Medicago truncatula: one gene and its partner. The protein of the gene in region 1 interacts with the protein of each later gene in a pairwise test. Links are inferred from orthologs where the notes say so. Each region holds a gene or a part of one and is shown in the gene's direction. Other genes may lie near its edges.

Region 1 (7,857 bases):
ATCATTTTTTTTCTTCTATTTCTACCCTTGTTATTTTATCTAAAATCCATTTTTACCCATTATCATTTATTAATATAACTGCATCATAAATATTAATGTTATAGTGAGTCTTGTATTTCACTAATCACACGACTCAATATGGTATTATAGTCTTTTTAGTATAGACCAATGGTTTGATCCGATTAGAAGATACCTTGTGGATGTTGCAAAGGTATACCAATCATAATAAAGAGATGAAGTCCAAGAAACTTGGGGAAATTATGTCTCGATCACATGACAAAGGTTATTTTTTCATGAAGAGCGAAGTTGTAAAGTGTAAGGAGTCTCAAACGCATGTGTCCCGCTTGTAAGTCTAGTGAGCAACGTGCAAAATGAAACATAGTTCAAATGTGTTAGCCTCAATCATGTGCACGACATGCGTGCTTTTGTGTGCAACATGCACATTTATCATTTAGCGAGACGCGCAACGCGTGTGATGTTGTACGGGGTGCGCATGTATAATGTAAAATCCGATTTACTTAAGCAAGCACTCGCCTAAATAGAAGGGTTTCAAATTTTGACGATCCATAGACATAAAGTGTGATGTCATTGACCTAAAGTGGAAATTTCCATCCCTTGTCAACAAGATTGAAGACCTTTGCTATTCTATTTGTGTGTGTAGCTCTTTAACCTTTTGATTATGTTGTTTATTAATATGATAAGTAGCTAAACTCATTAGATTTAGATTTAATGATGAACTTGTATGATATTGTTTGAACCATATAATCTATAAGTCCTCTGTTAAGGTAATTTGAACTATGCTTCTTCATTATACCTTGTGGTTATATGCTTTCATTGCATGATAAACTCTAATTGATTTTAGCTTAAAATATGGTTTTAGTCCCTGCAAATATGCCTCGTTTTTGTTTTAGTCCCTGGTAAAAAAAAAATTGTTTTTGGTCCCTGTAAAATTTTTTGTTTTTGAAAATAGTCCCTCCAGGGACTATTTTCAAAAACAAAAAATTTTGCAGGGACCTTTTTTAAAAATAAAATATTTTGCAGGGACCAAAAACTATAAAATTGGTTCAGTTATAATGTGTCACGTATGCAAATCATCACAAAAGTGGGGTCAGGGACTATTTTCAAAAACAAAAAATTTTGCAGGGACCAAAAACAAATTATTTTTTTACCAGGGACTAAAACCAAAACGAGGCATATTTACAGGGACTAAAACCATATTTTAGCCTTAATTTTATGTTGTAATTCATTATTACCACTAGGTCTTGTAACCGGAACTAGGCACAATGTTCTCTAACTAATTTATATAGATATAGGGAATTAATTAGTGCGGCTAATATATTAACGCTTAATCAAACTTTTGATAATATCAATTTCACCTAAGAAATTAGAGTTTTATATTATAGAAACCGTACCTTGAACCAAGAATTTGATCTTGGTCTATTTTTTAAATTGTCATGAGCAAAGGTATCAAATTATTTTTTTGTTTAGGACCTAGCATTACCAAGCAGGAACATAAAGAGGATTCAAACCATCTTAAGCTCCTGTCATCATTCTGAATTAAGTATTTATTTAATTTGATCTGCAAACCAACTATGAATGCAAACACCTCCATTTTAATTTTTAAATAAACATAGTTTAATTGCCTATTAGAAACAACAATTCATGTGGATATGAATCTCTACATATATTATTATTTGACGATGCATTTAGTACATTTGTCAAATAAGTCCATCAATAGGCTAAGTTGACTACATTAGTCTACATCAAGTCTAAGTCAGGCCATACTTCTTTGAAAATAGACAAGATGAAGATTATCTTTTATATCAAACAATAATAACTTAAGAAATCACAACCTTAATTGTAATCCTATACACTTCAAGTCTAAGTCAGGCCATACTTCTTTGAAAATAGACAAGATCAAGATTATTTCTTATATCAAACTCGTCGAACAATCAAACAATGATAACTTAAGAAATTACAACCTTAATTGTAATCCTATACAATCACAACCTATCAACATGTTTATGTATGTGTTGATTTAGTTTCACAAATTTTTTGAATTTACATTCATTATATCGTGATGCATGTAACATACTTTACGCGGCTCTAAAAAAAAATGTAACATACTTTAAGCATGTTGGTTCAATTTCACAAAATTTTGAACCCAGATTCATTACACAATGACATATGTGACAAATTTTCAACGCATGAATGCAATGTCACAAATTTATGAGCTCACGTTCATGGATTTGAGAGAGAGGGGGGGGGGGGGGGGATATCAAGTGAGAGATAGACATAACTTGATGAAGGAGGGAGAAAGAGACAATGAGGGGAAAGGAGAGGATCCAATCTCGATTTGCACATTCATCTCACTGAAAAATATATAACCGTTTTAAAACGTATTCACAAACAAATAATACTTGAAAAAAATTCAATAGTATAGGCTAAGCATGACTATTACTATTTTACCAATTTCTAAAATATTAAAAGTTTAAATAAGAATTCATACTATATTTGGCTATAAATATAAAAAGAAATATCAAATGTATTTTGTTTGAAATTCGGTCTAAATATATTTGACTATTTACAATGACCTATGATTTTAAGTGTGTTGGTTCAATTTCACAAAATTTTGAATCCACATCCATTACACACTGATGTATGTGATAGGTATTGAACACGCCACAAAGTTTTGAACTCACATTCATCTCACTGAAATATATGTAAATGGTTTTAAACACATTCACAAACATATAATACTTGGAAACAAATTTAATAGTTTGGCTAAACATGACTACTAATATTTTACCAATTTCTAAAATACTAAATAGAGAAGTTTAAATAGGAATGCATAATCTCTTTTGTTATAAATATACGGGGGAAAATCAAATGTATTTAGTTTAAATTCGGACTAAATATATTTGACTATTTACGGTGACCTATGTAACAAGTTTTAAGCGCGCTAGCACAATTTCATAAAATTTTGAACCCATATTTTGAACGCGTGTATTCAACATAATAATTTTTTGAACTCACGTACATCTCACTGAAATACATGTAACCGATTTTAAACGTGTTCATAGAAAAAATTATTCACTAGTATATGAAAGGCATGACTACCAATATTTAGCCAATTCTTACAATATTAAAAAGAGAAGTTTAAATAAGAATTTATAATCTCCTTTGTTATAAATATACGGGGAAAAATCAAATGTATTTGGTTCGAAATTTGGACTAAATATATCTGACTATTTACAGTGACATGTGTAACAGGTTTTAGGCGCGTTGGCTCAATTTCATAAAATTTTGAACCCATATTCATTACATTGTGGCGTATATGGAAGATTTTAAATGCGTGTTTTCAACATAATAAATTTTGAACTCGCATTCATCTCACTGAAATACATGTAACCGATTTTAAACGCCTTCACATACACATAATACATGGAGGAAAAAATTCAGTGGTATGCTAGGCATGACTACTAATATTTAGCCAATTCTTACAACATTAAATAGCAAAGTTTAAATAAAAATTCATAATCTCTTTTGTTATAATTATACGGGAAAAAATCAAATGTATTTGGTTCGAAATTTAGGTTAAATATATTTGACTGTCTGCAGTGATCTATGTAACAGGTTTTAAGCGCGTCGGCTCAATTTCATAAAATTTTGAACCCGCATTCATTACTTTGTGGCGTATATGGTAGATTTATAACGCGTGTTTTCAACTCATTGAAATACATATAATACATGGAGGAAAAAAAATTCACTAGTATATGTTAGGCATTACTACCAATATTTAGCCAATTCTTACAATATAAAACAGAGAAGGTTAAATAAGAATTCATAATCTCTTTTGTTATAGATATACGGGAAAAAATCAAATGTCTTTGGTTCAAAATCGGGTTAAATATATTTGACTGTACATAGTGACCTATGTAACAGGTTTTAAGTGCGTCGGCTCAATTTCATAAAATTTTGAACCCGCATTCATTACTTTGTGGCGTATATGACAGATTTTAAACGCGTGTATTTAACCTAATAAATTTTTGAACTCACATTCATCTCACTGAAATACATGCGTGTAACCGATTTTAAACGCGTTTACAGCACATAATACATAGATGAACAAAATCACTATATTTAGCCAATTTCTAAAATACTAATTAGAAAAGTTTAAATAAAAATGCATGCACTCTTTTGTTATAAAAAAAAATACGGTTGGTTCAAAATTCATATTAAATACATTCGACTTTTTACTTTATATTTAAAATTGATTAAAAAAATTAACCTTAGCCCATTCAAAATTTTGTGAAAGAAATTAAACTTAACCAGTTTACTAGTTTACTCCAGTCAAGATAAACTTACTTTTGAACATTGAAAGAACACATCATATAAGGTAAATCCAAAACTATTTTTTTTTTAAGGAAGGTAAATCCAAAATTTCAAACCAATAAAAAAAATCAGAAACACAGTGTAATAAATTGAATCAAGAAGTAAAAGTAGTAAAAGTGAAGCTGAAATGGGTAGGTCTAAAAAAATATTAATTAAAGCTGAAACAAGGGAAGAAAAAGAATAACAAAGGTCTTCATGTCGGTCCCACCTTCAAATCTGTGACAGAGACAGCAGTTTCATTTCTCAAGCTGTTTCTCATGCTCTCTCTCTCTCTCTCTTCTTGTGTGTGTTTTTTTCTTATTTAAACTCTTAACTCATCTTTTTTTCCCCTCTCTCTCTCTCTCACTAGAGTATAGCTACAAATATAAAATTGTTTTATTTTTTGCTTGTTTCTTAGGACTTTTATTTATAAATGTTTTTAGTCTAAAGTTAGAACCTTTGTATTCTTATGTGTGTGTGTGTGTGTGTGTGATGGTTGTGTGAATTCTCAAAGAAACCAAAGTCCTCTCTTCACACCTTCAATCTCAAACCCATGGAAACATCAACAACAACAACAGCAACAAGATTCTAGGGTTTGACAACACAAGTTCATCAAGGTTTGTCTGCACTTTGATATTTTTTTGTTGGTTTTTTTTGTCACATGAAAATTGGGTCTTTTTTTATTTTTTTTTATTTTTTATCTTTGGTCTTTTTAATGTAATGTTGAAAGGCACTATTAGTTGATTCTGATTCATGGGTCTTTTTTGTTTCAAAAAAAAATTCAACCTTTATCTTCTTATGAACTGAAATTTTGTAACTTTAACTAAAAATAAAAATCCTATTTTTGCGGTTCATTGTCTGGTGAAAAATGGGATTTTTTTCATCTGGGTATTTTTATCTTCCACATGAGAATCAATGTCTGATATATTTGTGGATAAATGAGATGCTTTCTTTGTGTTTTGGTGTGTTCTTCTTTTGATTTAGGGACTTAGTTTTTTTTTTTTTTTTAAATATTTTTATTTTCTGAATTTTGTTATAGATAGAAAGAGAGAGGCTAAAATGGAAGAAGTTGAACAAGCAAGCAGAACAGCTGTTGAAAGCTGTCATAGAGTTCTAAGTATGTTGTCTCAACCAAGGGATCAAGTTCATCATAGGAATTTAACTGTTGAAACTGGTGAAGCTGTGAATAGGTTCAAGAAAGTTGTGTCTTTGCTTCATGGTTTGGATCATTCAAGAGTTAGGAAGCTTAAAAATCTTCAAAATGTTCCTTATCCTCAAACTGCTTTCTTAGACAACCCAAATTGCAAAAGAAACATCATCAACCATCACACCAAAAATGTTCACTTTACTCAAACTACCTATCCTCAAAATTCAGTTCAGGAACTTGGTTCAACCCTAAGAAATCCACTTTCTCTTGGAAACCCTTCTTTGGAATTGAGTTCGAACGGGAAAAGTCCGCTTCACCTTGCTCAACAAGCTGCATCAACTCACTATCAATTCTATCAGCCGCAGCAACAGCATCATCACCAGCAGCAGCTGCAGCAACAAAGGTTGTTGATGCAGCAGCAGCAACAGCAGCAACAAATGAAGCATCAAGCTGAAATGATGTTCCGAAGGAACACCAGCGGCATAAGCCTTAATTTTGACAAGGCTACTAGCAGCACACCAACAATGTCGTCTACTAGGTCTTTCATTTCCTCCTTGAGCATAGACGGAAGCGTAGCAAACGTTGATGGAAGTTCCTTCCATTTGATAGGAGCTCCGATCTCTTCAGATCAGAATTCACAGCACAAGAGGAAATGTTCTGCTAGAGGTGATGAGGGAAGCTTGAAATGTAGTAGCAGTTCTAAATGTCATTGCTCAAAGAAAAGGTAATTCTTATGGTTGCTACATTAATGGTTAATTTCTGTTACTTTAAAGGTTTAAGAAACCATTATAATATCATATTAATAACTTTATGTGTTCTTGACAGGAAGCATAGAGTGAAGAGATCAATTAAGGTGCCTGCTATCAGCAACAAGCTTGCGGATATCCCTCCTGATGATTACTCGTGGAGGAAGTACGGGCAGAAGCCTATCAAGGGCTCTCCTCACCCTAGGTATGCCCAACCGTTGTGCCATTTGAGATTTAATTTTATTGATTCAAGGAGCAAATAAATATGAATGTGTTGTGATAAACAATAATTTTATAAAACTTCTGAACTATTTCGTTACGCTGCTTGGTGTACATTTATGATTTTATCTTAAAGTATGTTGACATGATCTGATTGATGTACTAGCCTGTGGGGATTTAAATAATTTTGGTCTATGTGTGGATATGTAATATGTTGATTGGAGTTCTGCTAATATATTCCTTTGTCCATGTTTGTAATTTGTTCTTAGTTGGTATTCTGGTTGATGAGTACGTTGTATAGAATTTAAGTCGTTGAGAAGGTCCTTGAATGTTTTTATGCACTGTCAACTTGTAGCTCTTCATTTTTTCATTACAAATATCATATTGACAGTTCCATTTGTTCAATAGCCCCTTTTTTTTAACTTGAAAACATGTTTGAGAAATCAATTTGGCAATTTTGATATTCTAGGTGTAAACTCAATCTTAACCTTAGTAGCAAAATTTATGCTTCATTATTTGCACATTATTGTCAATTAAATGAAGGTGAAATGTGAACTACAACTCTACAAGTTTTATGTGTGATGAAACTGATTGTAATCTCTTAATTTTGTTTCTTCAGGGGCTATTATAAATGCAGCAGCATGAGAGGCTGCCCTGCTAGGAAGCATGTTGAGAGGTGCTTGGATGAGCCTACTATGCTAATGGTTACCTATGAAGGCGAGCATAATCACGCCAAGGTACCAACACAACCTGCAAATGCATGAACTACATGGAGAGTCACATTCAATTTGTGAAGACCTCTATGTGATTGGCTTGAGATGTTTCTGTACATATTTCAAGTGATGCGAGCAGGACTGCAGATTTTGCCTTTTGGGTAGCTTGGTTGGGGAGTCGTTTATTTAGAGGGAGTGATGAAGATCACTGGTTAAGTGCAGGAGTATGTAAAATTGGATAGTTTCAATTCGTAAGAACAATTTTATTTTTCTTAAGTATGTCATTAAACATTTCAGGGTTCTCTAAATTAATGGAAATTGTCTTTGGAAAATGGCTGAGTTCTTTCAATTTTGTTTTTCGAATCAAGGCTCTAGCAAATTGATTGTCGTAGTGATACATCACAGCAATTGATTCTAGTAACTATAAGTATCACATAATCTAAGTGGCATATACATAGTATGGTTATCTTTGGGTGTTAAAACAGCTTAAGCTAGTTGTTGCGTTTGGAAAACATACTTTCTATAGTGTTATTGCTGCACATTCAATGTGAAGCTTCCTTTTGTAGAGGTGTGACATACAAGGATATATTATTGCTGCTTCACGATGCAGCGGCTGTGAAGGATTAAAATATGTATGTGAATGCGCGTTTCAGGTGAC
Region 2 (7,586 bases), on another chromosome or scaffold:
AGTATGTGAAAATGTTATATTGTGAATTGTGCTCAAATTGTTGAATTATGCGATGTTGTTGTTCAATTATGATGAGAATCATGTTTAATTGATGTTGTTGTTGTTAAGGAATATTGTTGTTGATGATTCATGGCTTGGGTGTTCATAAATCATGATTTGACGATGAGAAATAAGTTGTTGTTGTTGTTGGTTTTGTAAAAATGGGTTGATTTGGTGAATTATGTTCATATGGCAATTGTTTTCATGTTTGATGTGTTTTAGTTGTTTTGACCTGTAAACAAACTTTGGAAACATATTTGGGCATTGGGAGATCAAAATTGGGAATTTTGGGTGAAAAAGGGTTGAAACCCGTAATATTTTTCTGCAGAATTATGACTGTTCGCTTAAGCGAACGAGTAAGCGAACAATCACAGTAGGTTTTGTGACTGGTTCGCTTAAGCGAACCGGAAGCGAACTTTTGTTGTAGCTTCTGGAACTTTGTTCGCTTAAGCAAACAAGGTGGTCGCTTAAGCGAACATGCTCAGTTTCAGCAACCTTTGATTTTCGTTCCGGACTTTAGGGAGCCAATCCGAACTTTGTAAAATGCTTCTTTCAACTTGTTTAACTACTGTTTGAACTCCTAAATCTATTGGAACATGTTTTAAGATTGAAACTTGAATTTTTGGGAATTTCAGATTTTTGTCGGAATGAACTTTTGTGAACTAAATGGGATTATAAGTTGGGTCTACAGTTCATATAGACTTAGACAAGACTTGTAATCTTGGTCAAACATCTTAATCATGCTAAACTTGATATTTCAGGTGGGAATGAGGAAAATGTGAACTTGGGTTTTCTCATACGAACTTAAGCTATACTCTGAACTAATGTCTAATATTGTAAGTGACTTAAGCTCTTGATTACATAATTGATTAAGATTGAGTTGTGAGTCTTCAAACTTGAATAAGTTACTTTATTTTGGGAATTATCAATGTTGGCTGTTTGCCACTTGAGACAGACTTTATCAAAAATGATTCTTTGAGCCAAATACCTTATAATATTTTGAGATTAGTTTGATACGATTGAATGAAGATATGTGAGTAATTGTGAGGTCTTAAATATGATATTTATCATTAGGTGTTGTATTTTCCTCCTTTACTTGTATTATGAAAAGTTGTATGAAGTTGTTGAACTATATGATATAGTTGAAGTGGATTAATGAATACATGTTGATGAATTTGTGATATTTGGTGATGACTCTTAATTGAATAATGGCATGTTGATTGTGTGGATGTAAATGCTTGATAATGCAATTGTTGTTGAAGTTGAGCAATGTAATTGGAGGTGTACTTTTACATTGTGTTGTTGTATGTTGAGTAGTTTGCATTATTGGGTCTTTGCTTATGTCCATGCATCATTGTCATATCATGTCATATGTGAAATGTAAAAGGAGGTGTACTTTTACATAGTTGTGCGTAAGATGAGGTGTACTCTTACATAAGATGTGCGGTTGGCATCTTGTTGTTGTTATTTGGTACCACATGCATATATGTGTCGGAATTAGGCGCATTGCATAATTAACATGAGTTGTAATTGTTGCATGTGAATGATAATTGTTGAAGATTGTGATGAGATTGTGAATGATAATTGTTGATGATAAGTGTGCTTGGTGAATACTTGATCATGATATTTGAAATTGTTATGTGAATGTGTATATTGAATTAACTGTTTATGTGAAATACTCGGAATTGACTTTAATTCATATATGCTCAAATCTATTTTATTGATTATGATTGATGTAAAGCTTACCCCCAGTGGTTTTGACCGCCTACCTGTCTGTATGGATGGGTAGACGACGTGCAGGGTTAGTTGCTTCGGTGAGTTGCTTGGTGCTTGGTCGAATATCGGGAGCTATCTCCGGTATCGGTTTCTTAGAGTCTAGGATAGACTCTAGGTGTCTGTTTATGATTATCTAAATTATCTGTTGCGGACTATTTATGTGTTGGAAGTTTCCCCACTTGTCGGGATTTGGAGAATTTTTATATTGAGATATTTTTTTATATCATGACATGTATACCTTTGAGATGTATGATCTTTATCCGCCGTGACTGTTAAGAATTTTACACATGCATGTTATTTTGGATTTTGTGATTGACGTGACGACTATTTCTTGAATATTTATATCATTCGCGTATTTTATCACTTTAATAGAAATAGGGCGTTACAATCACTAATCTTCATACGAGTCAACGCATGATATACTCCTTTGACAGAGCATCTTTCGTCGAAGTCAAGTTTCTAATTCCACTTTTCCGACACATTGTCCTACAAAAAATGTTATACAACAAAGAACAATATTATTCCACATTATCTTCCTCATAAGCATGAAACCTCCTACTCGACCTTCCCTCAACACCCTCCCCGCTGCAGCCAAATATACATGTCTTTTCAACTGATACAAAGTGATTCTCGGCTAACTCAAAAAGTTTTTTAAATCTATCACATAAAAGTCTTGCCATAAACTACTTATCAAACCAAAAAAGTGAAATAACCTCATTGCTCACTAAGTTTTCGTCAATCAGATTACCAACCTCCAATCCTACCCCCTCTTATGCAAAATAACATTGTTCCACCACATCAACGCCTTACTCCCCTTCTTTCACTTGACCACCCTCCATATCGCAACTCGCCATTTAAACCATACACTACAAACTCCTTAATCCACATGCAACTTCCAACATTATTTACCTAACATAAAAATGATTTAGCCCTCAAGCTATATGCACCCTTAAACCACGTCTACTCCGACAAGACACACCTTACTCCACTTTATCCAATAAATTTTTCTAGCTTCCTCACCCCTACTTCCATAAAAATCAGTTAAAAAGAACAAAGAATGAAATAAATTACTCCCCACGTTTTATAATGAGTGTCACTTTACATTTTCAATTCAACTTTAATTTATTTTTTCAACTTTAACCTCAATAAATACTCCAACTTTTCTCTCACAATTTTCAAGGTAACTTTAAGTGTGTCTTTCTCTAATAAAGTAAGGGTGATTTAGTAAAAGTGTTATGTCTATTAATTATTTAATTCTATTTCTTAATCCATGTGTCAAAATCTTAAACAACAGTTATTGTGAAACAGAGGGAGTAGTCAAGTAACAATAACAAGATAAATCTAAGAAGAACCCGTCGATTTCCTAAAGAAAGACTCTTATACCAAACATAATATTTATACATGTGCTCTTGATAAGTTAAAAAGTTGGATTTCAACGTGTTCAACCAAGGAACAAGTTGGTGTATGTGTTATCTTCCACACGGTAAGTTTTTCTTGATATGATCAAACGGAGGATACCACAAACATAACCTATCAGGGTTACCTCTTATAACAACAATCACCAACAAATATAATATCCGAACGTATACTATTGAGTGTCGTTTGTTAAGAAGCAAGCTAATAAGGTTGCTCATAGTATTGCTAGAGCATCCTTATCTCACCCTAGCCTCTATGTTTTCAATGATGTACCATCTACCATGTACTCTTTATTTATGAATGAAATGCACTAAATTTTACTTTGCTAAAAAAAGAAGAAGTTAAAAGGTACGATTTCAATGCGTTCAACCAATGAATGAGTCGGTGTATATGTTATCTCATTTATACTCAACATTATGCTTCAATTTTTCCCTAAAAAAAAAATTATGCTTCAATTTGTTTTGAACAATAAAAAATGAACATTATGCTTCAATTGATCAATTCATTGTTGTTTAAGTATCTATTCAAATATTTTCTTGTGTTAGTTAAGCTATCATGGTTCATGCCTTTTTGCCCTGTAAAATAATAAAATGTTCCATGCCTCAATTAGTCCAAAAAACCACGTCACATGCCCTTTTTTAAATTTATTTAATTTTTAAGGAGTTTTTTTTTTGGTTACTAATTTTTAAGGAGTTTTCATCGGTTTTTTTAAGGAAATTTCATCGTTAAGATTTAACCTCTGCAACATGCACGCATCTTTTGTCAAAATAAAAACGTGCTTCACATCTTTAATACTAAAACTTACTTAAAAAAAAAAACTCTAATACAAAAACTTTTTTCTTTAAAAAGAAATCATTAATAAAACTTTTCTTGATCCTCTCAATTTTTTTTTTATATCGCACAGAATAAAACTTTTGTTGATAAAATATTAGGATTGGCTGTTTCTGTAAATTTTTTAAAAAAATATCGTAATAAATAAAAGATTTTAAATCGAATATATGAGGAGAAAACAAACATCTAAAAATTTCGTCTAACCATTAATCTCAATTTTTTTTTCCTTTCTTTCGACATGACTTATTTTTTACTATTTTCAGTTTCCAATAAAAGTAAGAATTAATACATGTTTATATTCGATTAAATTGGTAAAAGATGATTCACTCATAACGTTTTTTTTTTTGTTTGAGGAAGATTCACCCCGTAAATTGTCGATTCAACTTTCACCACAACTTGATTTTTTTTGCACACATCAAAGACCTTTCAATATCTTAAACTTTAGTTAGGTCATAAGCTTGCGTTATCAAACTCGGCGTCGCAACTTATTTGTAAATACATTGGTTAATTGATGGTGCGTGCAGCTTGCCATTGGAGTTCCCTTGGGGCTACTATATATAATCCTTTTCAGTTCAGTCCTTCTTCTTCATCTCAATCAATCAGAGTCAAACGCTTCAACAGTTGCATCTCCATTTCCGGTGAGAAATCTTCTTATTCTTTTCTAATAATTTTGATTACATCGATTAAGCATTTCCACTATTTTAATTCAACATTACATATTCATTGTGTTCCTTCGTTCATTCTAGGTACACTGTTCTATCATCAATGGCTTTATCTGTTTCCACCGATTGTTTCCTTCCCGCACTTGGATTTGTTCATCATCATCCCCAACATCGTATTGCTGCTCCTACTAACTTCTTCAATCTTCAAAAAGCTCCTAAAACCGCCACTTCCCTCTCCTTTTCGCTTTCTATGCGAGGTAAGCTATTTGATAGCTGATAAATTGAAGTTCGTTAACTTAGTGAATTGAATATGCTGTGTTATTAATTGAAGTTGAACTAGTTGATAACGGAGATAAAATTTGAGGATTTTAAAAACATTTAATGAAATGTATAGACTATTCTTCAAAGAGGCGCAAAATTTAAGGACTAAAAAAATATTTAACCCTTTTAATTAATAGATATATATATTTTTCCAAATAAAATACCAACGGGTAAAATTGAGAATGAAATAAGTTATAAGCTATAAGCTCAAACACTACTTGAAGTAGCTTATAAAAAAAGCTATAAACTATATAAAAGAAACTACAAGCTCGCGGCAAAAAATTGTTACCAAATTGGTCTATTTTGATCATACGAGCTTATAAGCTAAAAAACTGTCTTGCCAAACAGAGCCTTAATACTGTGATAATCATTGTTGTTCATGAATGGTAAATATATTTTCAGCATGTTTTATCATGCTCCTTACTGTGGCAATTTCTTTTCTTGCTTTGATAATGTTTTATTTAGTGGCTGAACATTTCACTGCTTTCCTTATATAGCTTTAGAAGTTAAGCCACACGCTCAGAGCAAGGGCCGATCATCTTTTGCACAAACAGATGCTGTGAAGCATCTGACAGGTTCTGTTACTAGAACGGAGGGACTTCGTTTTGCCATCGTAAGTATGCTACAAAATTTGATGCTTATCTATTTCATGCAATGCTTTTGACAAACACTAGCCTTTTTGAGTCTTATATTATTTCCCTGCTTTTTAAATTTCGATAAGAATACAAATAGGGTGTGTTTAGATAAAAGCACTCATTTAATAAGCTATTATGGGGAAGTTGTTGAAATAAGCTAAAAAGGGTATATGCTATGTCTTATGTTGTTTTTATAAGTGTATTCAAACACTAGTTCAAATGCTTATTCATGTGACGAGGTTAAATAAGCTTTTCCAAATGCTTGCGTAAAGTTAGGAACAGAAAGCAAAAAACAGACCACACTACCAATATGAATGATGTACATGTCTTGAACTTAGGATTTCCATGTTACTTTTAGTTGATTTATGGGAAATTCATTGCATTCAAATATGATGTCTGAGAGCAGCAAGCACGCCAATCTCTATGCATTTGACAAAAAGTACCCTCTAAAATACTCATCAAGCATAGAAGCCAAGCACCACATAAATTTCGGGAAGACCACTTTGTTCCATAGAAGCAACAATGCTATGAAATTATCGTTGAAGTTCTGGCCTTCTTTCCAATTATAGTCATCAAACTAAAGAACAAGTTACGCATCACCAAAGGATTTTCTATCTTTCATCCTGCCAAACCTTTTAAGTGGCAGATAAAAAATTGATCCAAATGTTTGGACAATTCTAGTTTTCTTCCAAAATACTGAAAATTATGCACCACAAATATCTTATTATGGTCACAACACGGGATTTAGGGGAGAGAGAGCTTTGTGTGGTCTACTAACCTGTAACAATCATTTGTATTATTACTATTAAGTACAACTAGCCATATAAATGGTTTTGTGTTAGAGGGAATCTTGGGTCTGGCCTTCTAGAGTTGAATTCCAATAATAAAGTTGTGTTGTCTTTTTGGAGAATGAATGTTGAAACTCCAACAGAGTCTAGTGCCCAAATCCCGTTTTCCAGACATGAGAGGATTTTGTACTGCAAGGAAGTTGCTAATGGGATTGCTATACGTAGTGGATAAACAAAAAAGGTGGAGATATGAAGTAGTGAAATAACTTAAAATGTCTACCTTGAGGAAGTTATCATATTCTGCTTCCAGATTTTTCATTTATTTTCTATTTAAAAATGGATTATAATCATGAAGATTTTCTTATCGTTTTATGTTTCTTTGCTAGTTTCTTTCTAAACACTTTTCTTTTAGGTTGTTGCACGGTTTAATGAAATAATCACTAGGCCACTCTTGGAGGGAGCTTTGGGTACTTTCAAGAATTATTCGGTTCAAGATGAAGACGTTGATGTAAGTAATCTGTCTTGTATCTCTCTCTTTTTTTTTAACAACAGTAATCTGTCTTATATGTTAATGGAAAATGACTTATTAATAATCTATATGCTATATTACTTTTGTATTCGGCAGTACCATGTGGACTTAATGTTAACTGTTTCAGACGTTATTACAATGGTTCTATTTTCTTTTTTGAAGAATTTACAATGATTGTATTCTACCGTTTGGATTCTGATAACTTATATTTTATTACTCATTTTTCTGTTCATGATGCATCAAGGTGTTCACTGCCTTGCTTATATTGAAATATGAAGTAAAACAAAATTATGCATAGCTTTTCCTTTTCCCCTGCTCTCATACATATCCATCACTTGACAGTTGCTTCTATGATCACGGCATGAAGAGAAAAATGTCTTTTCATTCATTCTGAAAATACTGAAGTAGTACATCTATATGGATTATAGAGAAAAATACAGGTGTAACAAGGAGTGCATTGCTATGTGTCATGCAGCAGAAACTAACCATCTAATATATTAAACTAACTATTGGAATCTCAAACTAACAGTTTTTTTTGTACTGGTAACCAACTAGATGAAGTTGTTGCTTCCACTGACTCCATTGCATG

Evidence for each region.
Region 2: the proteins of probable WRKY transcription factor 21 (region 1) and 6,7-dimethyl-8-ribityllumazine synthase, chloroplastic interact in binary tests that used the Arabidopsis thaliana proteins (3 or more experiments, as listed by UniProt). The link is inferred for Medicago truncatula from reciprocal best matches to the Arabidopsis thaliana genes WRKY21 and COS1.

What each region holds. Positions count from the first base shown.
Region 1 is NC_053042.1:35,168,845-35,176,701, reverse strand, and holds probable WRKY transcription factor 21, read left to right. Parts: upstream 1-4,744; 5' UTR 4,745-4,991; intron 4,992-5,413; exon of another isoform or gene 5,414-5,417; 5' UTR 5,418-5,433; coding exon 5,434-6,245; intron 6,246-6,346; coding exon 6,347-6,472; intron 6,473-7,105; coding exon 7,106-7,250; 3' UTR 7,251-7,531; downstream 7,532-7,857.
Region 2 is NC_053045.1:46,659,787-46,667,372, reverse strand, and holds the start of 6,7-dimethyl-8-ribityllumazine synthase, chloroplastic, read left to right. Parts: upstream 1-4,548; 5' UTR 4,549-4,700; intron 4,701-4,808; 5' UTR 4,809-4,827; coding exon 4,828-4,981; intron 4,982-5,542; coding exon 5,543-5,658; intron 5,659-6,880; coding exon 6,881-6,976; intron 6,977-7,586. UniProt on the Arabidopsis thaliana protein: Catalyzes the formation of 6,7-dimethyl-8-ribityllumazine by condensation of 5-amino-6-(D-ribitylamino)uracil with 3,4-dihydroxy-2-butanone 4-phosphate. This is the penultimate step in the biosynthesis of riboflavin.